Stegostoma tigrinum: one gene and its partners. The protein of the gene in region 3 interacts with the protein of the main gene of each other region in a pairwise test. Links are inferred from orthologs where the notes say so. Each region holds a gene or a part of one and is shown on either strand. Other genes may lie near its edges.

Region 1 (6,834 bases), on a different chromosome or scaffold from region 3:
CACTTTCCTTGGCAAACTACAAGTGGAAACTCGCTAAGTGTTATCCACGTTTGTTTTCAAGACTTTGGAAAACATGCTGAAAATGGTAGGGCCTTGTTGTCATGTTTCACTGGCGTATTCTTCCAGATCCCCCTGTAAGGCTGTTGATAAACAAATTGACTTGGTGGAAAATTAAATGTTTCATTTTCCTGAAGTTTCTTGTTACAATGGTCTGCTGATTATGTTAAAAAGTGCAAACGTTGCTCTTTTGCCATGATAATGATGCAGTATAGTGAGACTGATCGCTGCGGTTTCTTTTATGTGTATTCGAATGCCCAGCGAGCCCGAAATGGTACAATGTGTCCTTTTGGATTGATTAAAGAAGGATAGATGTAGTTTAGAGCCGCTAGAAACTAAGGTTTGTAAATATCCCGCCTTCATTTCCTTTCTTAGAAATATGTGAGAATTTTATTAATGTCATTATATTTTAAAGAATAATGCTTAGTAAAAACGTATCTCACAATGTCAATCTTTATTTTAGTGTTCGAATTGAACTTCATTCATTAAGTCCAGTCTATGGCGCATGTGAGATGGAACTGCTGTGTGACTTAGGTAGTTTCATGTTGTTGGGCTTCTGTTTGATCGCAGTGACAAGAAACTGCCTGAATTACTCCAGTTATTGTCATCGCAAACTTTTGGAACTTAGTTAAAAAGAGGAATCTCTGCTGTTCTGATACCCGAATAAATGGTTCCTGTGGCAAAACACTAAACGTGACGAAGCTATAAACAATGATATATAGTGCGAACTGTTATTGCAGATTACCGGACACATTTATCTATCCTATTGCTATTTATCCGATACATCGCTATATTCCAAAATGTAGTATTTGTGTATGAATGGCATGGTAAAGTTTTAAACAATGCAAATTGTGTGCATTTTTCTACTGATAAATGCACAATTTTGGAATTGCCTTGTCATTGCAAGCATCATTAGTTTGATCCGAATTTCTATTCGTCAGAAGGATCTGCAGTCAGATGGATTAATCGATTATACGTTGAATAAATTAATCGATATCTAAATCAACAGAACAGATGGATGAACTTGCAGTTGTGTAAGGTGTGTTCCCAGTAATATCTGCACCGTCTCTATTCATAAAAGACGTTATTACATGTTTTCTTGTAAGGCAGACAAATGGACAATGGGCCCTTGGAAAGCTGAAAATCTGTCGATATACAAGACGATTTATTTCTGTATCATATTAATTCAGTGTAACAGCTTTTATACATTTGTGTTATGATCGAGGGACGATAACTCTCTTCCATTCCCAGTTGAGAGCGCTCTTCAGTCCTCCAATGTTATGTTATCAAGTCTTGTAGTGTGAAGTAGTTGTGTTGTTTTTTTAAATTTAGCATAATATGTCTAGTCATAAAAGATAATGTTGTTACCACTTTATCATTAACGACGATTGTTCAGTCTATCACAATATTGCTGTATATCAAAAATATAGTCTGGGTCAATAATACTCCGGTAAGATACATCTGAATATAACTCATAGGCTTTTAAACTGGAGGTATCCAGTTGCAGAAAGACATTAGGCAAGCTTCCAGTGAGATTATTGCCTGTGGACGAAGAAGCTTCAGTCTTGCCCTAATCGATTTGTTATTTTGTTCGTTTACATATCAAAGTATAAGTTGAGCGAGTTTCCGCTGATAATCTTCAATTCGTTCGCCTTTGCTGTCAGTTTGGAACCTGCGAATTAAGTGTAGGATGCTGTTTAAAGTACTTGTAGGAATACATATACTGCCCCTGTTTTGCCCACCGAGTGAATTGTATAATGTCATCTCGGTTAAGGAAAAAGGAGCCCCTTTTAACAGCAATTTAGTGCCGAGGAGTGTTCCATCATAAACTTTATTTGATTGCCATACATTCAGCATCTTCACGATTTAATGTGAAGATTCTTTGTTTTCTTGTCTCTCTGCGTATTTCCAATGCATTATGAATTGAGCAAAAGGTGAGAGTGCAACGAACAAACTTACTAATGTGAAAGTAATAACTGCGTTGAAATGACTGAAGTTCGATTGGATTGCACAGCGTGCTGAGACAAGAGCAAAATGGCTCGCTTCTTTAATCGTTAGACTTAAATTAAACATCTTCTTTAAAATATAAATGTGGTGTTGCCACCAAATGACCTGCAGCGACCCTGAACGATGGATCTTTTCCTTTTCATCATGCTACTTGCTGTGTTTGGAGGCTGTGCCCAATTTTGCTTGGCAAGGATTGATAATGTATTTTTTAAAGCTTCTAAAAGTATATTACTTAAACTGGAAATTTGCAAGAAAGACCAACGATTTCCTACTTCTAAAACCATTTAAATATATTATTAAAACTCTCATAAAACCAAAGGTCTTAGAAATATTAGAAATGATTGTTGATTGTTTTATACATTACTGTTGAAACGCAGTTCCCTGTCCTTGTCGATGTCACACTTTGCATCTGTTTTCCTGTATTGATGTAACAATTAAAAGCATATTTCCCATTTCACTGAAGAATACCCAAAACTGCTTTGTTGCGAAAAAAATGGAGTGCATATTTTCATTGATAATGAAACCTTTATGCTATTAAGAAAATTGTTTAAACTGGGATTTGTGCATTTAAGATAAGTTTTAGATGCAAACGGGAAAACCCGGCATATCCCTGCTATAACTTCCAGCTGGGAAGAAGAACGACAATGCTAGTATCATATTGTCAATTAAAAGTTCCGAACTAAAAGACAGGCGAGTGTCTCTGAAGTATATTTTAACATGTAGACAGCAATACACTGGCAGAGTGATTGTTTCAGCTTGAAAAGATACATATAAAATCCAATAACTGTGTTTACTTTGAGTAAATAGATGTCGACTTATTTCGCGCATTAAATAATTTTTTTTACTGTTCATACATATAAAGCTGTTTAGAAAATATTGATTTGTGGCATTTTTGGATGTCTATAATTATATATCAAAACTTGCATATTTGGCTCCATGAGCAATAATCGCTAACATATCCCGTTTTACAAATGACTGAAAAATCTATTTGATGCAAATATTCAGATGCGATCTGCAAATCACGCCGGCCTTTCAAAGGGATGCCTGCCGTTGAAACAATCGCCCTATTTGACTGTTTAGACTGGACAATATTCATTGATGTTAAATGAAGATGTATCCGTCAGCATCTTAGCAGCTTGAGAATACGTTTTCAAGTACGCAGCCTTGAATGTAGAATAAGGTTAAATTAATTTCCCCCAATGTTTTCATCTAAACTTTCGAATTCATCATGGCGGCAAAATAAACTTTATCGGCAGGCGAGTGGACAAGAGGGTTACTTTTACTTCAACGCATCGCCAGAAAGAGCAAACAGAATCAAAATGCTAAAGAATTTTGTGAATCTTGTGAGATATTTATGATCATGATGCTAACAGCAAATATAAGTACATAGGTGAACCGTTTCACTGATCTTATCTAATAATTGAATATTCTCAAAAATATTCCCGGTACAGTAGTTTGGACCTTATCCAGGCTCTTGCAAGGTTTTTTTTATCATGGAGAATTCAGTTGGTATTTAAGATATAGTGGATCTCCAATAATAACATTAACGAATACTCAGATGTTCACCTCAGCCGATAGTTTGTTCTATACCTCTATACTCGTTAATGCTATCTTAATAGAAGCCACTGTTGTAAATTAGCAGCCCTGCCGACGGTCACCTGCCTGCCAGCATAACCGTCCAAAAATTACAATTCAAATATTCGTCGAATTATTTCCGAGCCTAAATAAATGTTTGTTTATTCATTTTTAATTATTTTTCTTCATCTGAACAATAAATTTTGTTTCGTCAATTTATAAACTAAACCATTGACAGGATTAGAATTTAAAATGTTTATATAAATATTCCCCCAATTTGTAATGTTCTTCATTGCCTTCGCCATTGTTCGTCCTTCATCAATTATCAAATCTCTTCAAATACAACTCTTTGCATTTAACGCATTCATTTAGAGGTCGATTACAAACATCGATTCTATTTTATTCCGCTGATGCAAAGTAAAGTATTAATAGTTTCCATTAATAAGTTCCATTTCTTTCAAAGTGATTTGCAATTTAAAAACCGAATAATTTTCAACCTGTGTAAATTTTTCATTACCCACCGAATTTTGTCTGAGTATTCGCATTTCACTAATTGTACTTAGTTTTCGAACATTAATTCACGCTTTGTCCTTAGCTGATGATACAAAATCTTTCTTGGCTCTTTTCTTCCTGGAACTGACGGAAAACATAAGAGAAAACTTAGTTTACATTTATAGTTAACCTCTAACAATGAGTGTATATTTTAATACACAATAATTATTCACTTGTTCACTAAAGTTCATGATTATTGGAGGGTTCGCTTTTCTTTTTCCTTTGTTCCAAAATAGACTTGCGAGGAATTTGAAATCACACAGCATAAACAAAGCAGGATAATACGTAGCCGTGGCTTTCGTATGACTGTGAGCTTTAAAACATCACAATGGGAACAAAAAAGACTTTGTTGGCTGGAAATGCAGAAACCAGAATCAGAAACTACTTTAAATCCAATTCGTTCTAATCTTCCTCAATTGCAGTCTTTCGACTGAATTAAAATTTTACGAGAAAGTAACGGACCATCTTCTCACATTTTCGTGTATTTTCATTGCAATATCTTCTCTATAAGATCTAAAGTTGTCACACATAGCACGCACGCATATTTCATTCAATGGCACCAGAACCTCGGGCTAATATTGTCAACTCCAATCTAAGCGTTCCGAACCACCAACCTCACCAGCTTCTCGTACCCATCAAGTACAAATATCGCAAGAATAATCTGCTGCGTTGATTGCATTTAACACTTCTTATGTTACGGATTTAAAATAATAACAGTAATACAAAAACTGGCGATGATGAGACCTGGTGTGGGAATTTATCGCACGACGTAAGATTGATTAGGAAACAAAATAGTTCCTTTAAAAAATGTCCGTTAAAGTTAACCAGGTTTTGCATTCTGAGGAATAGTTGCTCAGTATGTATTTATCCGTGGTACTGTTTATTGTTCAATCCCCCTTTTACTTCTAAATGTATTTAATACGGGGGGAGGAGGGGGATGCTAATTGTTTAACCCCCATTGCGGATTGATTTACGTTTTATTGTCGCTTTGTCGGCCTCATGAAAACTTTAACCAATCGTTTCGCAGATAGCCCACAACATATTAGCTAACTCTACTTTGTTAGTGGAGAAGTTGAGAGAACAATTTCTAGTCTTACATATAATTTCTCAATGAATCGAAGTGTATGATGTTTGACAATGTCGATCTCTGGTGCTATTGGCAACTACTTTGTCGATTCACTTATAAGTCATGAAAGCGAGGGATCGCCTGCAACAAAGTTTGCTTCGGGGCAATACTTAGTCTCCAGGCAGCCGCGAGTCCCCGAGCACCCCGAATTTCCTGCTTGTAATTTTCAGGCGAAATCTCCGGTGTTCGGCGCCCCTTGGGCCCCCGTGTACGGCCAGCCTTCTGCCAATGTTCCCACTTTGCACCATCCTTACGTCCAGTCTCACCCCATTCAGCCTGATAGCAGGTACATGCGGTCCTGGTTGGACCCGACCCCCAGGGCTGTGTCCGGACCCGGAATGCCTTCCAGCGGTCACGATTCATTGAAAGCAGAAGTACCCGCAACACATGGCGGCGAAACCCTACCAGCAGCGCTTCAAAAACTACATGGCGAATATTTGGAGAGCGAAACCATTTGCTCCGGGAAAGCGCAGTGCTACGAAGACAGTATATGTGAAGAGAAGGCAGACAAAGAGACATCAGAGCAGAGTAAGTTTTTCGAGAGATCTACTTAACTTATCTCAATGAAAATAGTTTCCAAACCTCGTACAAAACAAAAACACGCTATTGTAGTAAGGTTCCAATTAAAAGGTAGTTTGTTCCCAGTTTAGCCTCAAGGATTTAACTGGTCTTATGTCGCTTGTATATTATACGCCTCCGTTCTGTTTTATGTAAACACCTGCATATCCTTAATGGCGGTTTCGCCAGATTATCTTCTACGAGACATTGCATAAATGGAGGAATAAATAAAAAGTATTCACTGCTGTTATTTTCCGTTCGAAATAAGCTCCTGAGAACCATGAAATGTGCGCCGCACCATCTTTATGTGAAGCTGCGGAGAAGGGAGAAAGGAAATATTTCATGTAGCGGAGTCGGCTCTCCGAGTTTATTTCTGAATTGTAAACGTGGTAATCAACAGCAAAATGAAGTCTTCGCAATTCGAGAGTGCCCAACAGTTTCCAGTTCAGTAATACACTATACTAATGGACAAACGCTTAGGAGTAACACAAGACCCAGACACACACACACACACACACACACACACACACACACACACACACAGACACGCACTTTCTTAATACTTAGCTAGACCGATATAACTGTGGAAGAAGACTCCCACAAGCAGTAAAATGTTAGAAATATCATTTAGAAATTATGATTGCAATATAATTCTTATTCTCATCTGATTATTTTCCCCTTCACTCATCTTTAGACAATCCTGCTGCAAACTGGTTACATGCCCGCTCAACGAGGAAGAAAAGATGTCCTTACAGCAAATATCAGACCCTGGAGTTGGAAAAAGAATTTCTGTTCAACATGTACCTCACCAGGGACCGGAGGCACGAAGTAGCGCGTCTTCTTAACCTGACTGAAAGACAAGTCAAAATCTGGTTTCAAAACAGGAGAATGAAGATGAAAAGACTCAGTAAGGAGCATGTAAAAGAGTTCGAGTGACTAGCTGTTTAAATTTAACTTTA
Region 2 (8,014 bases), on a different chromosome or scaffold from region 3:
TTGCACAAATACACCTGGGCCACTGAATACAAGGTTTTAAAATTGAACTCCACAAGTTTAATATTTGTAGCAAGAATGCTGACGATCTAATGACAAGGTTGTGTGGGATGAATGTGGGGTTGGGGTGGTATTTGGATAATCCAGATCTCTCTACATTGTAGTAAAGCACCGGTCACCTTTGACAGACTTTCCAGTGATGTCACTCTTCTCAATGAGCTTACAACTGCAAATAAGTCACCGCATCAATTGTACTTCAGCCACCAACAGGCAGGGAAAAGAAAACTAATAAACAAATGCAACTGGAATAGAAACAAACATGGGCTGTGGTTATTTTGTCCATATTACCTCTCACTGCAAAGCGAAGCATTATCGACAACTTAGCAAACATCCGACTCCTCTCAGCATCCTTTGGCCCTTTGACGTGCTTCACCTTTGACCATTTGTTGTGCCCTGCGGAATTAGCTGCAGACGTGTGGATCTCAGCACGTTGTGAAAAGGAACAATACTGGCCACTTGCCTGGTTGGACGTGGGAGTAGGCACTGATAATAAAACTCTGGGCTTTGGCAGCAACTTGGCTGACCACCGCAGTGAGAATAGGAGACATCTTCTGTTCCATGAGCAAACACTTTGAAATGCAGCAACTGTAGCCATAGCTGAGGTCCTGTCAATCACCTGTAAAAGTGAAGGTGAAACTGCTATACTGAACACAGTAAAATGCTTACTATCCCGAAAAAACCATAAATATGTACAATTTATTGCTCTCATGCAGGTCACTCAACCCAACTGTTGATATTTCTGCTCTAAAACAAGACTCTTCCACCTTCCTCACCTAACCCCATCAATGTATCTTCCTTCATGTGCATTGATACTAAGCACCTGAGCCACACCTTGCCAGTGATTTCCACATTCTCACCAATTTTTGAACAAAGTTAATATATCTAATTAAAAAAAATCCTATGTTACCCTCCAGGCTTTTTTTTTGGACTCCCTACAAGTGGAAATATTTTATCTGCACCTACCCAATCATATCTTTAATTAATTTAAATTCCTTAACTTCGCGTGACTTATCCTCCTTTTCGGTCTCTTTTGTCTTTCCTGTTAGGTGTAGCCCACATTATGGCATCTGCCTTGTAATTTTGTTTTGCACCTTCAACGGCCCCTCCACATGCTTTCTGAAGACTAGGACTCTGCACACTTCTCTATGATCCAACTAAGTTTAACATAATATTCTTGTTTTCAATTGTTCTTCTAAGAAGGCATCTCGGCATTTTTATAGACCTTCAACTGGTGTTATCACAAATCAGTGATTGTAGCAAAGTGGACAGCAGCAGAAAAATTTTGGCATAGATGGGTGATGGATGACGCAAAGTGCACACAGGCTACAGTGGGTATGTGAGGATATTTGTATCCCAGACTGTTTTGATCATCTCAACTCATTTTGTGCGGTACTTTCTGAATTCTCACCCTTGATTTTAAATCCCTCATTATCTCCAATCTCTCTCAGTCCCACAACCCTCCAGGATATCTGCACTCAACCAATTCCAGAAATCTGTACATTAACAATTGTAAATGCTCAACCATCAATAAACATTTTCAAATTTGTTTTGGCCACAAATTCTGAAATACCACTCCACACACATATCTGCTCCCTCCTGCCTCTCCTTTCCTTAAGGCCTACCTCTTTGACCATACATTTAGCCACCTGGCTTAGTATCTGCTATGCAACTCAGTGTCATTGTTGCTGTGGGGTGCCTTTTTAACATCCCAGATTTTAAACATTCCACCATTGGCAAGGCCGCAAATCATTTGAATCCATCTGCAACTTTGAAACTAAACCTATCTCTCCACATTTTTTTTATGATACTCAATTGAAATATATTTTTAACCAAACCCTTCAGCCCCCACCCTAATAACTCCTAATACTGTACAATTCAAATTTTATTGGACAACACTTCTGTGAAGTATCTTTGGACTTTAACTACAGAAGGACACAATATAAATCAAGTTTCTGTTGCTGCAGTATCAGAGCTGTTGTTTATCAGTTGAGGTGCTAAACTGAGGCCGCAGCAGCCCTATTTCAGAACACTGGGTGTTCTCCCTGGTGCCTTGACCAATAGTTCACCTCGAAGCACAGTACCCAACCAGATGAAATGAGGAACACTTCAACTGTGGTAGGGTACTGTGGGCAATACGAAGGGGTTGGCAGTGAGACTGATGGTGCTAGTGAAAGGAGGAGGAGGTCCTGAGTAAGAATCCACTCAATGAAGAAAATCAAGTGTCATTCAAACCAGCCATCCTCACATTAGGTGTTCTCTGACAGTTAAAAGTGGCCTATAAAGGAGCATGGTTCAGCTCTGCAAATCACATAGGTGCATTCCAGGCAGTGTCCCTGTTTGTTGGCAATCAAATTGTGATAAAACTGGACAAATGGCATCCTGGAAAGATGAAAAAAGGGAAGAATGTAAGAAATTCTGGCACGGTGGTTAGCATTGCGGTCTCACAGCGCTTGGGGCCCAGGTTCAATTCCAGCCTCGGGCGACTGTCGGTGTGGAGTTTGCACATTCTCCCCACGTGTGTGGGGGTTTCCTCCACGTGCTCTGGTTTCCTCCCACAGTACAAAGATGTGCAGGCTAGGTGGATTGGTCATGCTAAATTGCCCCATAGTGCCCAGGGACGTTTAGGTTAGGTGGGGGAGACATGGGAAATATAGAGGAATGGGTTTGGGTGGGATGCTCTTCGGAGGGCAGTATGGACTTGTCGGGCCGAATGGCCTGTTTCCATACCGTTGGAATCTTATGATATGGTAAGTACACTCCTCTTAAACACTACAAATGGTTGGCCATCCCCCTCCCTTCCTCCAATGGGTAATCTAGACAGATATTACACGGTTTGTGGGGACCTGCTGTATCCGCAGAGGCTATGATACCCTCCGGTCTCACCACCCTCCCCTCTCAGGCCCTCACCCTCTCTTTTTCGGCCAACCTGCAGGCCGCTCGGGTCCTGGACGGCACGCGTGCGCATTCGCGCAGTACCGGCCGGAAACAGCGCGTGCGCAGTACCGCCCAGCTGGATGGCTCTGCCAGTGATTATTCGGTGAGCACTGTGATCCCTTCCGACTGTGATCTCTCTCACTCACTGATCACTGTGATCCCTTCCGACTGTGATCTCTCTCACTCACTGATCACTGTGATCCCCTCCGACTGTGATCTCTCTCACTCACTGATCACTGTGATCCCCTCCGACTGTGATCTCTCTCACTCACTGATCACTGTGATCCCCTCTGACTGTGATCTCCCCCTGAATGTGATCTCCCACTGACTGTAATCCAGTCTCTTGCTGGTCACTGTGATCCCCCCTCTGACTATGACCTGCATCTCTCACTGATCATTATGACCTCCTCTGACTGTTATCCCTTTCTCTCACTGATCACTATGATCCCCCTCTGACTGTAATCCCCTCCCTCACTCTGAGCCCGTTCTGACGTGATCCCCTCTCTCACTGGTCACTGTGATCACTCTCTGACAGTAATCCCCTCTCTCAATGACCACTGAGATACCCCTCTGACTATGATCCCCTTTGTGATACCCGTGTCACTGAGTACTGTCATCCCTCTCTGACTGTGATCTGCCTTGCTCGCTATACACCATGATCACCTTCTGATTGTGAACTCCTCTCTCACTGATCATGGAGGTCTGCCCTGACCGTGATATCCCTCTTACTGTGATCCACTCTCTCACTGATCACTGTCATCTCCCTCTGATTGTGATCCCTCTCTGACTGGTCATCTGCCCCTGACTGTGATCCCCCTCTGATATAGTAACCCCCTCTCTCAATGTGATCCCCCCCTTGACTGTGATCCCCCTGTCACTGATCTCCCTCTTAACTGTAATCCCCTTCTCTCACTGATTATTGTGGTGCCCCTGACTGTAATTCCCTCTCTCACTGAGATCCCCATCTGACTGTAGTTGCGCCTCTCACTGATCACTGTGATCACCCTCTGACTGTAATCCCCTTTCTCAATGATCACTGTGATCTCCCTTTGACTGTAATTCCCTCTCTGACTGATCACCGTGATCCTCTCTGACTGTGATCCCCTTTGACTGTAATCCTCTCTCTCACTGATGACTGTGATCCCCCTCTGACCGTAATCCCGTCTCTCACTGATCACGTAATTCCCCTCTGACTGTGATCTGCCTCTCTTACTGATCACTTGATTCCCCTCTGACTGTGATCTGCCTCTCTCACTGATCACCGTTATCTTCCACGTGACTGTGGCCCCCCTGACTGTGATCTCCCTCTCTGACTAATCTAGGATCCCCTCGACTGTAATCCCCTCTCTCATTGATCACCATTATCTCCCCATGACTGTGATCTCCTCTCCCACTGATCACTGTAATCTTCCTCTAACTGTGATCTCACTTATGATCTCACACTTTGAATGCTCACTGATCTGCCCCACACACTGATCTTACTGTGATCGGTGATCCTCTTAGCGATCTCCCTCTTCTGGTGATCTCTTTTATTCTGTGAGATCTCTGATAGTGATCACTGATTTCTCACACTCTGTGATTGCCCTCTCACTATGATCTCTTTCATCCTATGTGTTCTCTGACACAAGGACCACAGGTCAATGAGAGTTTACACTGAGTGCCCACCATAAAGGACCACAAGGTTGCCCTCCATCTACCTCATTTTCTATTTCAGGTTCTGGGACCCCAGTGAGCGGACCCAGTGTTCTGACTGCCTCTGTACATTGTGAAATGTGATTACCCTGCATTACAGATGTTTCTGGTTACAGACGTTAAAGTAAAAGTGGGATGGATTCAAAAATGAGTTTGTAAGAGATTTTGTGCAAGTATAAAGTTGATGAGGGTCGAGCTGTGGATGTGGTGTATATGGACTTCAGTAAGGCATTTGATAAGGATCCCCATGGTAGGCTCATTCAGAAGGTCAGGAGGAATGGGATACAGGGGAACCTAGCTGTCTGGATACAGAATTGGCTGGCCAACAGAAGACAGCGAGTGGTAGTAGAAGGAAAATATTCTGCCTGGAAGTCAGTGGTGAGTGGTGTTCCACAGGGCTCTGTCCTTGGGCCTCTACTGTTTGTAATTTTTATTAATGACTTGGATGAGGGGATTGAAGGATGGGTCAGCAAGTTTGCAGATGACACGAAGGTTGGAGGTGTCGTTGACAGTATAGAGGGCTGTTGTAGGCTGCAGCGGGACATTGGCAGGATGCAGAGATGGGCTGAGAGGTGGCAGATGGAGTTCAACCTGGATAAATGCGAGGTGATGCATTTTGGAAGGTCGAATTTGAAAGCTGAGTACAAGATTAAGGATAGGATTCTTGGCAGTGTGGAGGAACAGAGGAATCTTGTTGTGCAGATACATAGATCCCTTAAAATGGCCACCCAAGTGGACAGGGTTGTTAAGAAAGCATATGGTGTTTTGGCTTTCATTAACAGGGGGATTGAGTTTAAGAGTCGTGAGATCTTGTTGCAGCTCTATAAAACTTTGGTTAGACCGCACTTGGAATACTGCGTCCAGTTCTGGTCGCCCTATTATAGGAAACATGTGGATGCTTTGAAGAGGGTTCAGAGGAGGTTTACCAGGATGCTGCCTGGACTGGAGGGCTTATCTTATGAAGAGAGGTTGACTCAGCTCGGACTCTTTTCATTGGAGAAAAGGAGGAGGAGAGGGGACCTAATTGAGGTATACAAGATAATGAGAGGCATAGATAGAGTTGATAGCCAGAGACTATTTCCCAGGGCAGAAAAGGCTAACACGAGGGGTCATAGTTTTAAGCTGGTTGGAGGAAAGTATAGAGGGGATGTCAGAGGCGGGTTCTTTACACAGAGTTGTGAGAGCATGGAATGCGTTGCCAGCAGTTGTGGAAGCAAGGTCATTGGGGTCATTTAAGAGACTGCTGGACATGCATATGGTCACAGAAATTTGAGGGTGCATACATGAGGATCAATGGTCGGCACAACATCGTGGGCTGAAGAGCCTGTTCTGTGCTGTACTGTTCTATGTTCTATGTTCTATAAAGATGTCTTTGACGGAACCCTAGAGGAAATGAAAGGAATAGGAATTAAACTTTGGTTGAAGTAGGGTGGGGGGTTTATCCAAGCAGTCTGAAGGCACATTCAGTACCATACACCACCTGGCCTAATGTAGAGGGTGAGAATTGCTATAGGTGGTGAACCTGGGAGCACTGGAACCAGTAACTACCAATGAATGAGCCACTCCAATCATCCCAGCCTTAAAAACAGATGGTGTGACAAGGATATTTGGTAACTTCTAGGTTACAGTCATCTGGAAAAGAGAGTTGTGAAAATGGAGGCTTGCTGGTAGGTGAAGCAAGCACTGAAAAGGTTGGATGTGTTGAATAATTTCTCCCCACTGCAGTTGGGGTGCCACCTCACTTTATGGGGTTGGCCCTGTACTGTCACATCTTTCCAAAGAGAGATGGAAGGTCCATTGCATTCACATCAAGATTTAATGAAGATGGAGAAGTATACTCAAGTGCAAAAGGAAGAGTTGAGCATTGTGCTTGATGTTGAAAGTTCTCCCATTTTCTTTATGCTGCTGACAGACCACAGGCTGTGAAGCTCCTTTTTTGACATCTATACAGGAATACCATCAATGGTGGCAGCACACCTGTCAATATGGGCATTAGTTTTGACAGCCTACTCCTATCATGAGATACTGACAGTTGAAAAAGCACAGAAATGCAGATGCTTTGTCAAGATTAACATGACTGCAAAATAAGGATGTTCCTGACTGAAACCTGAAAATTATGTACTTTTCCTAGGAAGACAGCATATTGGTATCAGAAAGTCGGCTGCGGAATGGTGCTCAAAATGACTATGTCTTGAACCTTGTAGTGGACTTAGTCCTGAGAGGAAGGACTCGTCATAGAGACTGCCCCAAATTATGCCGTGACCTGTCCAAGAGGTGGGAGTTGTTCATATCAGTTAATTCAATGTGGGGAAGGAGATTTGTTGCCCCTCCCCTGTTAAGAGGAAAGGTGCACTAAGGGCACCCTGGCATGGTGTGAACGAAAGAAATAGCCAAGAGCTACTTTTGATGGATGAATGTGGAGGAAGTGGGATCATATTAATCCTGTGCATTAGTAAGGAAAGCAGAGCCATCGTTGCCCCTTCATCCCATGGGAGGTGGCCTCAGTCAAACTATTTGCATGGTGTGGTAACTCCAAACAAGTTGTGAGTGACACCGATCCAGTCTGTGGCACAAGGGTTCAAGAATTACCTGGAAAAGCAGAGTCAGACATGAGATTGGCTCGATATCACCCTGTGACAAACAACCAGATGGAGAAATTTATACAAACCTTGAAGCAGGTCTTGGAGTGTTCGCAAGTACGGCAACTTAAGTTCCTCAGCACATATGGGAATACACCATAGTCAACGACCCAGTGCTTGTTGATGTCCTTAAATGTTTAACCACCAGCTGAGAATCACGTTTGACTTACTGCAACCAGAAGAGACCAGAGGAAGTAAATTGAAACCAGGAAGGACAGATGGTCAGAAGGGTGGGAACGTCAAGTTTGAGGGTACACCAAAGAGGAAAAATTCTGGCCCAAAATTACATATTGGGCAAAATGGATCCCAGCAGTGGTGGTGGCTCAGTTAGGACTTGCCATGGAGCGCAGTGGAGGCCGGGACGTTAAATGTCTTCAAGGCGGAGATTGATAAATTCTTGATCTCACAAGGAATTAAGGGCTACAGGGAGAGTGCGGATAAGTGGAGTTGAAATGCACATCTGTCATGATTAAATGGCAGAGTGGACTCGATGGGCCGAATGGCCTTACTTCCACTCCTACGTCTTAAGGTCTTATGGACAGTTGTCATATAGGGTGCACAGTGTTGAACGAGTCTGGAGGAGACAGTGAACCAGCCGGTAGCTGCACCTCACCAACAGGGGACAGAATACCGAGCTGGTCCAGATGGGACCAGTGATGTCGACTGAGCCAGAGTTGGTTGTATTGTGGGAG
Region 3 (7,204 bases):
AGGGATCTATGTACATGGACACCAAGATCCCTCTGCACATCCAAACTACCAAGAATCTTTCTGTTGACCTAGTATTCTGCCTTCCTATTAATCCTCCCAAAGTGAATCACCTCACATTTATCCGTATTAAACTCCATTTGCCACCTTTCGGCCCAATTCTGCAGTTTATCCAAGTGTCCCAGCAACCAGCAACATTCTTTCACATTGTCCACCACTCCACCGACTTTAGTGTCATACGCAAACTTACTAACCCATCCACCTATGCCTGCGTCCAAGTCATTTATAACGATGACAAACAGCAGTGATCCCAAAACAGATCCTTGAGGCACACCACTAGTGACCGGACTCCAGGCTGAATATTTTCCATCAACCACCACTCGTTGCCTGCCTACAGAAAGCCAGTTTCTAATCCAAACTGCTAAATCTCCCTCAATCATGTGCCTCTGTATTTTCTCCAATAGCCTACCATGTGGAACCTTATCAAAGGCTTTACTGAAGTCCATGTACACCACGTCAACTGCCCTACCTTCATCCACATGCTTGGTTACCTTTTCAAGAAATTCAGTGAGGTTTGTGAGACATGACCTGCCCTTGACGAATCCATGCTGACTATCTCCAAACAAATTGTTGCTTGCTAGATGATTATGAACCCTATCTCTTATAATCCTTTCCAAAGCTTTCCCTACAACCAACGTAAGGGTCACAGGTCTATAATTACCTGGTTCATCTCTACTGCTCTTCTTGATCAAGGGCACAACATTTGCAATCCTCCAGTCCTCTGGTACTAAACCTGTAGACAATGAGGACTCAAAGATCAAGGCCAAAGGCTCCGCTACCTCCTCCCTAGCTTCCCAGAGAATGCTTGGAAAAATCCCATCTGGCCCAGTGGATTTATCTGCCTTCACACCTTCTAGAATTGATAACACCTCCTCCTTACTAACCTCAATCCTTTCAATTCTAGTAGCCCGTAACTCAGTCATCTCCTCTACAATATTCTCCTGAGTGAAAACAGATGAGAAATATTCCTTTAGCACCTCTCCGATCTCCACAGGGTCCACACACAACTTCCCACTTTTGACTTTGACTGGCCCTATTTCTACCCTAGTCATTTTCTTATTCCTCACATATGTTTAGAAAGCTTTAGGGTTTTCCTTTATTCTACCTACTATTGTCTGCTCATGTCCCCTTCTTGTTCTTAACTCTCTCTTTAAATCGTTCCTAGCTAATCTGTAACTCTTCAATGCCCCATCTGAACCATCTCGTCTCATCGTCACATAAGCCTCCTTCTTCTGCTTAATAAGAGATAGAATTTCTTTAGTAAACCATGGTTCCCTTATCGCTTCGTCCCTGCCTGACAGGGGCATACCTATCAAGGACACGCAATATCTGTTCTTAAACCAGCTCCACATTTTGACTGTCCCCACTTGTCGGCCCTTCGACACACTGTCAGGAAACTGTCCTGCACACGTTGGACAAAAACTGATCCATCCGATGTACTAGAGTTATAGCATTTCCAGTCAATGTTGGGGAAGTTAAAGTCTCCCATAATGACCACCCTGTTCCTTTCAGTCCTGCCCAGAATCGTTTTGCCAATCCTCTCCTCCACATCCCCGGAACTTTGCGGAGGCCTATAAAAAACTCCCAGCAGCGTGACCTCTCCTCTCCTGTTTCCGCCCTCAGCCCATACCACCTCAGTAGACGAGTCCTCGTCAAAAGTTTTTTCAGCCCCCGTTATAATGTCCTTGACTAACAAAGCCACACCTCCCCCTCTTTTACCACCTTCCCTGATCTTAATGAAAGATCTAAACCCTGGAACCTGCAACATCCATAAATAAATAAATAAATAAACAAACAAACAAACGTAAATTGTATCCACAAAGTCACCTTCTTCAAACAGTTGGGGAGAATGCTGGACACATCGATACCTTAGATCTTTGTTCAGGGCTGCTTTGCTTTTGACTGGATTTCAATCAAGACCAGTTCTGTGTGTTCAGCAGAGCTCAACACAGTAACAACTATTGAAAAAACCAAAAGAACCACGGGTGCTGGAAATCTGAAACAAAAACAGAAATTGTTTGAAAATCTCAGCAGTCTGGCAGCACCTATGGAGAGAAATCAGAGGTCACGTTTTGGATCCAGTGACCCTTCTTCCAAACATCCAAATTCATTTTCTTTTAAATTTTACATTATATTGTATATTATTTATACCCTATGTATTTCGAGAAGGTCACTTCTTGTTTTTGAATGCCAGTTGGCATACGCCCAACCTGCTCAATCGACATTTCATTCATTAGTTAAACTCTGCAGCCCAGGAATGATTCAAGTTAATTTTCTCTGTGAATGAAAATCTCCTTTTTCAAGTCATGAGACCATAACTTTAGGCATCTTGTGTGGCAGTGGTAGTGTCCTTATCTTTGATCTAGGAGGCCTAGGTTCAAGTCCCACCTGCTCCAGAGCTGTGTAGTAATATCTCTGAACAGGTTGATTCGAAAATAAACAGATCAAAACTTTATTCAGCATTCCAGGGGTGGTATAATCATGGGCCCTGTATGGGTGGTGTAAAGCTACCCCATTTTTATATTCCATTCACACAACCATACAATGTTTCTTCCAATTTAACATCCTTACGCAGCCAAGGATAACACATCCTTCTCAAAAAACTTTTCTTTTTCAATGCCATAAATATCTGTTGAGAGTTAATAATTATCTCCTTAGAAGTCTATTACACAATTTCTACCTTTTAATCCAATGTTGAGTTCATTTTAGCCAACTGCCTTCATTTTCTCATAATCACCTTTATTTAAGTTTAAAACGTTAGACTTTGACTCCTACTTCTCACATTTAAGCCTAATGGAAAATTCAATCATGTATGATTGCTATCACCTAGAGGCCCCTTTACTGTGAGGTTATTAATTATTTCTGAGGAAGGGTTACTGGACCTGAAACGTTAACTGATTTCTGTCCACAGATGTTGCCAGACCTGCTAAGCTTTACCAGCAATTTATGTTTTTATTTCTGATTTACAGCATCCGCAGTTTGCTTGGGTTTTATTAATTATTTGTCTCATTGAACATTATCAGATGTTGAATAGTCCAATCCACACCTGTTTGGACTAGCACATTCTGCTCGAAGAAATTGCCCGGATACATGCTATGAACCCATTTGCAGGCTATCTTTCCCAATTTGATTCACCCAAATTGCATAAGATTTAAGGCATGCAGGAAAAATCTGACAGGGAGAACATTTCTCACCAATAGCCAAGCTACATCTTGATCTTGTTTGTAAATGTAATATCAAGGAACCATCCAACAGGACCTGCCATCATCTTCTTTTCCTGGAGGACATCTAGCGCATTAGATGCAGATGACTGCCTGTTGGACTGGTCAAAGATCTTTACGTGCATGAACTTTACCATGAGGGGCAGATGGTACAACACAGTCCCAAGTAGATGCAACATTCTATGACAATGTGGATAGCGCCATCCTCCGTAACACTGGGGAAAGGTAGGACCTAAGCACATTGCTTGTGTACTGAAGGTATATGCACAGCTTGATGCAGCCACACAGAGAGCTAGTCATCAGATAGACAGTTGTTTGGTCGGTTCTTTCTTCCTTTGTTTAGAGATTTCTACATCATGTTCCAGTTTTTAACCTGCAGATAAAGCAGAAGATGGCTCATGTGATCACCACTGTAATGGAGTGAGGAATTTGCCAGACCTGCAGAATATACAACAACACTGGAAGAACCTGAGAAAGCTCTGATGCATAATCGAGAGGGAGTGTTGCTTCCACATGCTCATTTTTCTGTGTCACCCACTCAGGCTGTCTGAGCTGTATCCCCAGCACCTTCAGATAATCTGACTTGATGACCAAGAGAACATGTCAGTCCAGTTCTCAAGACAGCACTGCCTTGCTCTGGCCATAACCTATTTTGGCGAGCAAGGCCATTTGACATGGTCACAGATGCATATCAATCTACACACCGAAACTGGATCTGAGCAGAAGATGGTAATGTTATCCATATTGGAAGACTTTGACCGGCGACACCTGTCTTCGCTGAGTGGGACTATGTTTCCATTCTTCCCGAGGGCTCAGAAAAGGGTTCGATCCACCACAGTAGAGAGAGAGAGCAGCCCTGGCTGTAGATTGGAGCAGAAATCTTTCTGAAGCCATCCACCTCCGGTACCGCAGCACTCCTGTGAAATGGGACATTGAATCCATAATGTTGTGCCTCAGAAAGGTCGAATGCTGCATGAGCCGCTTACATCCTAGACAGGTATCTTTTCTTTTGCGGACTGGCCGATTGCAGCTTCGCCTTTGAAGTTTGCCTTGAAAGTCAGTTCTGGGTCAGGAGGCGGACACTTGTTGGGAGGAGCCCAGCCTGCGGCAGGCTGTTTATAAACAGCGGTAGCGGGGACGCAAAGCGGAGTTCACATCGGGAACGCAGTGTCTAAAGGGGAATCAAGCTGACACTGATACCCGGCACCACGAAAGGTCCCAGGCTGATTCGCGGGACGCGGATGAAGAAAAACCTGGTCTTACTGTACAAGTACTGGGGTCTCCAGAGAAAGAGCAAGAAAAATAAGAGGCGAAAATGACCAGTTACACTGTCCGACTAGCTACACCCCGGGACTGCGGCGACATCCTCCGCCTCATCAGGGTGAGCTCCTGTGTTGATCGGAACGATTGCAATCCACGGGGCGGCCTCTCGGCCCGTCCGGTCTGTGTTCGATCTCTAAGCAGCAGTCGTCGTCCCCCCCCCCCCCCGTCCATGCTTTCCCCTGTGACCCCGCGGTCCTTTTCTGCAGCTCGGAAGGGTCTGAAGCTCTTTTGAAAACATGGAATGAATCCGCCTCCAGCTCCCCCGGGAGTTTGGAGGTGGGATGAGGTCACTTGCCTCCAGCTTCCCCTTCCACGGGGTGGATCCTAAGGGCACACTGAGTATAAGCCCTCCCTCATGTGGTCTCGGTTCACTTTAACAAAATGTGAGGCTGGATGAACACAGCAGGCCCAGCAGCATCTCAGGAGCATAAAAGCTGACGTTTCGGGCCTGGACCCTTCATCAGAGAGGGATGGGGAGGGGGTTCTGGAATAAATAGGGAGAGACGGGGAGGTGGACCGAAGATGGAGAGAAAAGAAGATAGGTGGAGAGAGTATAGGTGGGGAGGTAGGGAGGGGATAGGTCAGTCCAGGGAAGACGGACAGGTCAAGGAGGTGGGATGAGGTTAGTAGGTAGGAGATGGAGGTGCGGCTTGGGGTGGGAGAAGGGGATGGGTGAGAGGAAGAACAGGTTAGGGAGGCAGAGACAGGTTGGACTGGTTTTGGGATGCAGTGGGTGGAGGGGAAGAGCTGGGCTGGTTGTGTGGTGCAGTGGGGGGAGGGGACGAACTGGGCTGGTTTTGGGATGCAGTGGGGAGGGGGAGATTTTGAAGCTGGTGAAGTCCACATTGATACCATTGGGCTGCAGGGTTCCCAAGCGGAATATGAATTGCTCTTCCTGCAACCTTCGGGTGGCATCATTGTGGCACTGCAGGAGGCCCATGTCATCTGAGGAATGGGAGGGGGAGTGGAAATGGTTTGCGACTGGGAGTTGCAGTTGTTTGTTGCGAACTGAGCGGAGGTGTTCTGCAAAGCGGTCCCCATTAGATGGCATGTCCATCATGGGTCTCCTGCAGTGCCACAATGATGCCACCCAAAGGTTGCAGGAACAGCAACTCATATTCCGCTTGGGAACCCTGCAGCCCAATGGTATCAATGTGGACTTCACCAGCTTCAAAATCTCCCCTTCCCCCACCGCATCCCAAAACCAGCCCAGTTCATCCCCTCCCCCCACTGCACCACACAACCAGTCCAACCCGTCTCTGACTCCCTAACCTGTTCTTCCTCTCACCCATCCCTTTCTCCCACCCCAAGCCGCACCTCCATCTCCTACCTACTAACCTCATCCCACCTCCTTGACCTGTCTGTCTTCCCTGGACTGACCTATCCCCTCCCTACCTCCCCACCTATACTCTCTCCACCTATCTTCTTTTCTCTCCATCTTCGGTCCGCCTCCCCCTCTCTCCCTATTTATTCCAGAACCCTCACCCCATCCCCCTCTCTGATGAAGGGTCTAGGCCCGAAACGTCAGCTTTTGTGCTCCTGGGATGCTGCTGGGCCTGCTGTGTTCATCCAACCTCACATTTTATAATTCTCCAGCATCTGCAGTTCCCATTATCATCGGTTCGCTTTAACCAGGTAGACCCATCGAGTCTCCTCTGCCATCCAATGAGAACATGGCTGATCATCATCAACTCCACTTGCCTGCCTTTTCCCCATAACCCTTGATACCCTTGCTGATTGTAAATATCTGTCTCAGCCTTGAATATACTTAATGATCCAGTCTCCTCTGGCAAAGAATTTCACAGATTCACTATGCTTCAGAGGGGAAAATAAAAGTCTTCTGTGTCAGTTTTCATTAGATAATACCTTTTTGAGATCATGCCGTCTGGTCCTAGACTCTCCCATGGGCTGGCTGAGTGGTGCAACAATGTCTCTTCAACTACTTTTATCAAGTCATCTCAGAATCTAGTTTGTCAATAAAGTGCCCACTCATTGTTCTAAACTCATGAGTATGGGCCCAACCTGCTTAACCTCTTCTCATAAGAAAATAATTGGAATCCACCCAGTGTACAGTCTCTGAAGTGTTTCCATTGCTAGTATATCTTTTCTTGGATAATGGGCCAAACTATTCACTATACTGCAGGAGTGTCTAACTATGTGGTGTCTTTAGCATGGCTTCCCTGTTTTCATATTCCATTCCCTTTGAAGTAAAGGCTGGCAGTCCATTTCCCTTTCCTATTACCTACAGGTGTAAACTTTTTGTGATCCATGTTTGATGGTTGCCCAGTTCTTCTGTGCTGCAGCTATCTGCAGTCTTTCCCCATTTAGGTAATATTCAGCTATCTTGTTCTTTCTGTGAAAGTGCAAACCCTCACATTTTCCTCCATTATATTGTACCTATTCAGCCTGCTTTGTCCTTCTGTAGATTCTGTGTCTTCATCACTACTTGCCTTCAAATTCTGACACAAGAATTTTGTGTCATCTGCAAACTTGGTGATGGAGCATTCACTTCAGTCATCAAGTCATTGATATATATTGGAAATAAATGTAGCCCTAGCACTGATCACTGTGATGCTCCATTTCTTACAGGTTCCCATTCTGAC
Region 4 (6,981 bases), on a different chromosome or scaffold from region 3:
TCCCCGCCACACCCACCCTCCCACCCTCCCTCCCTCTCCCCGCCACACCCACCCTCCCACCCTCCCTCCCCCCGCCACACCCACCCTCCCACCCTCCCTCCCTCTCCCCGCCACACCCACCCTCCCACCCTCCCTCCCTCTCCCCGCCACACCCACCCTCCCACCCTCCCTCTCCCCGCCACACCCACCCTCCCACCCTCCCTCCCTCTCCCCGCCACACCCACCCTCCCACCCTCCCTCTCCCCGCCACACCCACCCTCCCACCCTCTCCCCGCCACACCCACCCTCCCACCCTCTCCCCGCCACACCCACCCTCCCTCCCTCCCTCTCCCCGCCACACCCACCCTCCCTCCCTCTCCCCGCCACACCCACCCTCCCTCCCTCTCCCCGCCACACCCACCCTCCCTCCCTCTCCCCGCCACACCCACCCTCCCACCCTCTCCCCGCCACACCCACCCTCCCACCCTCTCCCCGCCACACCCACCCTCCCTCCCTCTCCCCGCCACACCCACCCTCCCTCCCTCTCCCCGCCACACCCACCCTCCCACCCTCCCTCCCTCTCCCCGCCACACCCACCCTCCCTCTCCCCGCCACACCCACCCTCCCACCCTCTCCCCGCCACACCCACCCTCCCACCCTCCCTCCCTCTCCCCGCCACACCCACCCTCCCTCCCTCTCCCCGCCACACCCACCCTCCCACCCTCCCTCTCCCCGCCACACCCACCCTCCCTCTCCCCGCCACACCCACCCTCCCACCCTCCCTCTCCCCGCCACACCCACCCTCCCACCCTCCCTCTCCCCGCCACACCCACCCTCCCTCTCCCCGCCACACCCACCCTCCCTCTCCCCCGCCACACCCACCCTCCCACCCTCCCTCTCCCCGCCACACCCACCCTCCCACCCTCCCTCTCCCCGCCACACCCACCCTCCCACCCTCCCTCTCCCCGCCACACCCACCCTCCCACCCTCCCTCCCTCTCCCCGCCACACCCACCCTCCCTCCCTCTCCCCGCCACACCCACCCTCCCTCCCTCTCCCCGCCACACCCACCCTCCCTCCCTCTCCCCGCCACACCCACCCTCCCACCCTCCCTCCCTCTCCCCGCCACACCCACCCTCCCTCCCTCTCCCCGCCACACCCACCCTCCCACCCTCCCTCCCTCTCCCCGCCACACCCACCCTCCCTCCCTCTCCCCGCCACTCCCACCCTCCCTCCCTCTCCCCGCCACTCCCACCCTCCCACCCTCCCTCCCTCCCTCTCCCCGCCACACCCACCCTCCCACCCTCCCTCCCTCTCCCCGCCACACCCACCCTCCCTCCCTCTCCCCGCCACACCCACCCTCCCACCCTCCCTCTCCCCGCCACACCCACCCTCCCACCCTCCCTCCCTCTCCCCGCCACACCCACCCTCCCACCCTCCCTCCCTCCCTCTCCCCGCCACACCCACCCTCCCACCCTCCCTCCCTCCCTCTCCCCGCCACACCCACCCTCCCACCCTCCCTCTCCCCGCCACACCCACCCTCCCTCCCTCTCCCCGCCACACCCACCCTCCCTCCCTCCCTCCCTCTCCCCGCCACACCCACCCTCCCTCCCTCCCTCTCCCCGCCACACCCACCCACCCACCCTCCCTCCCTCCCTCCCTCTCCCCGCCACACCCACCCACCCACCCTCCCTCCCTCCCTCCCTCTCCCCGCCACACCCACCCTCCCTCCCTCCCTCTCCCCGCCACACCCACCCACCCACCCTCCCTCCCTCCCTCTCCCCGCCACACCCACCCACCCACCCTCCCTCCCTCTCCCCGCCACACCCACCCACCCTCCCTCCCTCCCTCCCTCTCCCCGCCACACCCACCCACCCTCCCTCCCTCCCTCCCTCTCCCCGCCACACCCACCCACCCTCCCTCCCTCCCTCTCCCCGCCACACCCACCCACCCTCCCTCCCTCCCTCCCTCTCCCCGCCACACCCACCCACCCTCCCTCCCTCCCTCCCTCCCTCTCCCCGCCACACCCACCCTCCCTCCCTCCCTCCCTCCCTCCCTCTCCCCGCCACACCCACCCTCCCTCCCTCCCTCCCTCCCTCTCCCCGCCACACCCACCCTCCCTCCCTCCCTCCCTCCCTCCCTCTCCCCGCCACACCCACCCTCCCTCCCTCCCTCCCTCCCTCCCTCCCTCTCCCCGCCACACCCACCCTCCCTCCCTCCCTCCCTCCCTCTCCCCGCCACACCCACCCACCCTCCCTCCCTCCCTCCCTCTCCCCGCCACACCCACCCTCCCTCCCTCCCTCCCTCCCTCTCCCCGCCACACCCACCCTCCCTCCCTCCCTCCCTCCCTCCCCCCGCCACACCCTCCCTCCCTCCCTCCCTCCCTCCCTCCCTCTCCCCGCCACACCCACCCTCCCTCCCTCCCTCCCTCCCTCTCCCCGCCACACCCACCCTCCCTCCCTCCCTCCCTCCCTCCCCCCGCCACACCCTCCCTCCCTCCCTCCCTCCCTCTCCCCGCCACACCCTCCCTCCCTCCCTCCCTCCCTCCCTCTCCCCGCCACACCCTCCCTCCCTCCCTCCCTCTCCCCGCCACACCCTCCCTCCCTCCCTCCCTCCCTCCCTCTCCCCGCCACACCCACCCTCCCTCCCTCTCCCCCCCGCCCCAACCCACCACCCCACCCCACCCCAGCCCAGCCAGAGCGGGCCCTCACCAGTTGGGGCAGGTTTCCAGCTGCCGCTTTATTTCCCCTGTTCCTCCGTCGTTTTCGAGACGTGGCGGGTTCCAGCGGCCTCTCTTCTTCTTCCTCCGCCTCCTCCTCCTCCTGGTCGGCAAAGTGATTGAGCGGTTCTTGTTTCCGCTCCCCGCGCAGTTTCCGGAGGCTCCTGGAAGACATGGTGACTCCTGCCTGCCGCGCCTTCCTCCCAACACCAGGCCCAAGCTCAAGCCTGAGCCCCGCGCGCTCTCGCTCTCCCTGTCAGCTCCCGGCTCGGAACCACCAGTGCGCCTGCGCCGCTCTCACCGGAACCCCGCCCGCCAACTTCCCTGGGACCGGAAGTGGAGGGAGAAAGGGCCGGAAGACCGTGAATAATGGGAACTGCCGATGCTGGAGAATCCAAGATAACAAGGTGTGAAGCTGGATGAACACAGCAGGCCAAGCAGCATCTCAGGAGCACAAAAGCTAAGGTTTCGGGCCTAGACCCTTCATTAGAAAAGATTTTCTACTCTATGGGCTTGAAGACTGGCTGTTTCCGCTGACACTCAATGGAGAAGACTAAGTCTGAGAAATTAACGTAGGATGTAAACGGAAGACGATGGAAACTCAGTTCATCCAGCAGCATCTGTGGAGAAACGAAAAGAGTTAACTGTTTGGGAGTCGCCTTTCCCCTCAATGAACCAATCACAGAATCCCTAAGTGTGGAAGAAGGCCATTCAGTCCATCGAGGCTGCACCAACTTTCTGAAGAATGTCCAACCCAGACCTGCCCTCCAGCTCTGACCTCTTCACCTTACATTTACCATGGTCAGTCCAGCCAACCTGCACACTTTTGGGCTGTGGGAGAAAACCACATAGACACGGGAAGAACGTACAAGCTCCGCATGAGATCCAGAGGGTGGGATTGAACCCAGGTTCCCAGTGCTGTGAGACAACAGCAGTACCAATCTCTCAGCCTGACCCCACTAAAGCTGCCTCTTCTTAAATCGCGATATCACTTTCTGTTTTTATCAGTAGATATTGAGCACTCTGAAGAAGAGTCAAAATGGTCTTGAATTTCTGTTTTTATCAGTAGATATTGAGCACTCTGAAGAAGAGTCAAAATGGTCTTGAAATGTCAAGTCACTTTCACAAATTGACCCTTGTATTCTTGTGTTTGTTTTGGAAAGGCACTGGAAGTGAGTCCAGAGAAAACAAAGATCAGAAAATCATGCACCTTCTCATTCCACCATCTTCCTCCACACTAAATGCAGGAGAGATTGCCATTGCCAGCATGTCTACACCAGTCAGATGTTGGCCACAGATTTGACCTCCAAGGCAGAAACTGTTGCCTTCCAAGATTGTACAGGATGTTGGTGAGGCCTGATCTGGAGTTCTGTGTGTAGTTCTGGTTGGCCTGCTATAGGGAGGAAATTATTTAATTGGAAAAAGTTTAGAAAAGATCTATCAGGATGTTGTTAGGAACAGAGGGTTTGAAGTATAAAAATTGGCTGGGACTTCTTTTTCTCTGGAGCAAAGGAGGTTCAAGAGTGACCTTATAGACGTTCATAAAATCTGAGGAGCACAGATAAGTGAATAGCAAGGGTCTTTTCTGTAAGGTGAGCAAGTTCAAAACTAGGGGGCATATTTTATGTATTTTTAGTGTCTATTTTGTTTGACTGTGCCACTTCCAATGCAGGAGCGATTTGAACTAGGGTTTTCTGGATCAGAAGGAGCCAAACTACCACTGCGATACAAAAGCCTTTTTAAGAATAAATATTTATGACGAGCCTATCGTGCTCCTGGCTCAGAGAATCTACAGCTACACCATATGATTACCTTCATGTGAGAGTTGTACCCTTGGTTTTATACAGTATCCCCTACCATAATGTATCATCTCGCACTTTGTGTTGAGCTTCATCTGTCACCTATCTGCCCACTCCATCCAACTGTGTATGTTCTTCTGCAATTCTACACAGTACTAATTGTTCACAATACTTTCTAATCGTTTTGTCATCTGCAAATTTTGAAGTTTTGTCCTGTACACCGTGGTTAATATCATTCATATTTACCAGGAAAAATAAGGGTCCTAATGCTGACTCCTGGAGAACTCAATGCAAACCTTCAGTTGCCTAAAAGTTATTCAGTAACCATTACCATCGGTTTGCTGTTGTCACTCAGCCAATTGTAATGGATCGGACCGGATCCCCCAAAGTATATTATGGGGATAATCTAGACTCACTCTTCTATACTTTTTTAAAAGACAAATGTAAGCCCCTGTTCCAATATAATTCAATTGGCCCACCACCACGCTTTTAATCAAAACACTTCTATTCTTGCAGCACAGTTAAAATGCAACAAAAAGAAGGATTTGCATAACTTTACTCTATTGAAATATTTCACAAAGATAATGTATTATTTAACCACTAATTAGCAACTATGGTTCCAATAAAGGCAGCATATACACACCATTGGCAAAGGCAATTCAGCAGAACAGTTATTATTCTCTCACGCTGTCTCTCTCCACTCCAGTAGAAAGAAACGATCAGGCCCGTTTTGATTTTTAAGAAGAAACCTCTCTGTCTAAGACTTCACCGCAGCAGCAGAGAATTCAAGCTTTCAGCTCCAACAGCCAGTAGAACCACCAGCTAATTCAAAGCAAAATCAAAGCCCTTTGGGGGTTTGTGTGAGCCTGACCCCATTCACTCATGAGTGTTTTGTCTTAAACATAACACCAAGGAGAACTCAAAACTGTTTACCAATTGCCTGTCTGAAGGAGACATTTTTGTACCACTATGACAACACCCCTCTGCAGAAGAAACAGGACAGAACACATTTCTTAAAGGCACAATATTGTCACAAAATTTTGTTTCCATGTTGCTGCTGTTCCTTTTATTCCACTAGATCTAACTTTGCTCACAGTGTTTGTTGTGTGGCACTGTAACAAATGCTTTCAAAATGTCGATCTATAACATAGGAACAGCTTTGCCATTGTGAACCTTTCTGTTACCTCTTCAGAAAATGTTCGCAAGTTAATTAAACATGAGTTTTCCTTGGGAAATCCAAGCTGGCTTTCCTTAACTGACCTGCACATCTCCAAGTGTCTCCTAATTTTATCCCAAGCTATTGTTTTCATAAGGTTTCCCAATCACCAAAGTTAAACTGACTGGTCTGCAATTACATTGTTTTCTCTTCCATTAAAAGCTCTTTGTAAGTCTCCTGTGTCAAACATTATTCCTTAACTAACAAACAGACAATTAGTGGGATTCAATGAGGTGACATATGAAAATTTTTTAAAAGTTCTTCTACTCCTTATATTTCTAGGTAGGAAGACCATACCAGCAAACAAGGGTGTAGTTCTACTTCTGAAGAAGGGTCAAGACCCGAAACATCAGCTTTCCTGCTCCTCTGATGCTGCTTGGCTTGCTGTGTTCATCCAGCTCTACACCTTGTTATTTCTGTAGATAATAAAATGTGAGGCTGGATGAACACAGCAGGCCAAGCAGCATCTCAGGAGCACAAAAGCTGACGTTTCGGGCCTAGACCCTTCATCAGAGAGGGGGATGGGGGGAGGGAACTGGAATAAATAGGGAGAGAGGGGGAGGCGGACCGAAGATGGAGAGCAAAGAAGATAGGTGGAGAGGGTGTAGGTGGGGAGGTAGGGAGGGGATAGGTCAGTCCAGGGAAGACGGACAGGTCAAGGAGGTGGGATGAGGTTAGTAGGTAGCTGGGGGTGCGGCTGGGGGTGGGAAGAAGGGATGGGTGAGAGGAAGAACCGGTTAGGGAGGCAGAGACAGGTTGGACTGGTTTTGGGATGCAGTGGGTGGGGGGGAAGAGCTGGGCTGGTTGTGTGGTGCAGTGGGGGGAGGGGATGAACTGGGCTGGTTTAGGGATGCAGTGGGGGAAGGGGAGATTTTGAAACTGGTGAAGTCCACATTGATACCATATGGCTGCAGGGTTCCCAGGCGGAATATGAGTTGCTGTTCCTGCAACCTTCGGGTGGCATCATTGTGGCAGTGCAGGAGGCCCATGATGGACATGTCATCAAGAGAATGGGAGGGGGAGTGGAAATGGTTTGCGACTGGGAGGTGCAGTTGTGTGTTGCGAACTGAGCGGAGGTGTTCTGCAAAGCGGTCCCCAAGCCTCCGCTTGGTTTCCCCAATGTAGAGAAAGCCGCACCGGGTACAGTGGATGCAGTATACCACATTGGCAGATGTGCAGGTGAACCTCTGCTTAATGTGGAATGTCATCTTGGGGCCTGGGATGGGGGTGAGGGAGGAGGTGTGGGGACAAGTGTAACCAAAACCAGTC

The links.
Region 1: the proteins of diamine acetyltransferase 1-like (region 3) and hoxb9a interact in binary tests that used the Homo sapiens proteins (3 or more experiments, as listed by UniProt). The two-hybrid records come from large-scale screens. The link is inferred for Stegostoma tigrinum from reciprocal best matches to the Homo sapiens genes SAT1 and HOXB9.
Region 2: the proteins of diamine acetyltransferase 1-like (region 3) and translational activator of cytochrome c oxidase 1-like interact in binary tests that used the Homo sapiens proteins (3 or more experiments, as listed by UniProt). The two-hybrid records come from large-scale screens. The link is inferred for Stegostoma tigrinum from reciprocal best matches to the Homo sapiens genes SAT1 and TACO1.
Region 4: the proteins of diamine acetyltransferase 1-like (region 3) and tcf25 interact in binary tests that used the Homo sapiens proteins (3 or more experiments, as listed by UniProt). The two-hybrid records come from large-scale screens. The link is inferred for Stegostoma tigrinum from reciprocal best matches to the Homo sapiens genes SAT1 and TCF25.

What each region holds. Positions count from the first base shown.
Region 1 is NC_081384.1:4,143,941-4,150,774, reverse strand, and holds the start of hoxb9a (homeobox protein Hox-B9a), read left to right. Parts: upstream 1-3,832; 5' UTR 3,833-5,328; coding exon 5,329-5,845; intron 5,846-6,569; coding exon 6,570-6,811; 3' UTR 6,812-6,834. UniProt on the Homo sapiens protein: Sequence-specific transcription factor which is part of a developmental regulatory system that provides cells with specific positional identities on the anterior-posterior axis.
Region 2 is NC_081384.1:38,590,160-38,598,173, reverse strand, and holds the start of translational activator of cytochrome c oxidase 1-like, read right to left. Parts: upstream 3,021-8,014; 5' UTR 2,965-3,020; intron 674-2,964; 5' UTR 653-673; coding exon 346-652; intron 1-345. UniProt on the Homo sapiens protein: Acts as a translational activator of mitochondrially-encoded cytochrome c oxidase 1.
Region 3 is NC_081365.1:77,559,768-77,566,971, reverse strand, and holds the start of diamine acetyltransferase 1-like, read left to right. Parts: upstream 1-4,197; 5' UTR 4,198-4,593; coding exon 4,594-4,659; intron 4,660-7,204. UniProt on the Homo sapiens protein: Enzyme which catalyzes the acetylation of polyamines. Substrate specificity: norspermidine = spermidine >> spermine > N(1)-acetylspermine. This highly regulated enzyme allows a fine attenuation of the intracellular concentration of polyamines.
Region 4 is NC_081369.1:38,570,055-38,577,035, forward strand, and holds the start of tcf25 (transcription factor 25), read right to left. Parts: upstream 3,004-6,981; 5' UTR 2,873-3,003; coding exon 2,690-2,872; intron 1-2,689. UniProt on the Homo sapiens protein: Component of the ribosome quality control complex (RQC), a ribosome-associated complex that mediates ubiquitination and extraction of incompletely synthesized nascent chains for proteasomal degradation.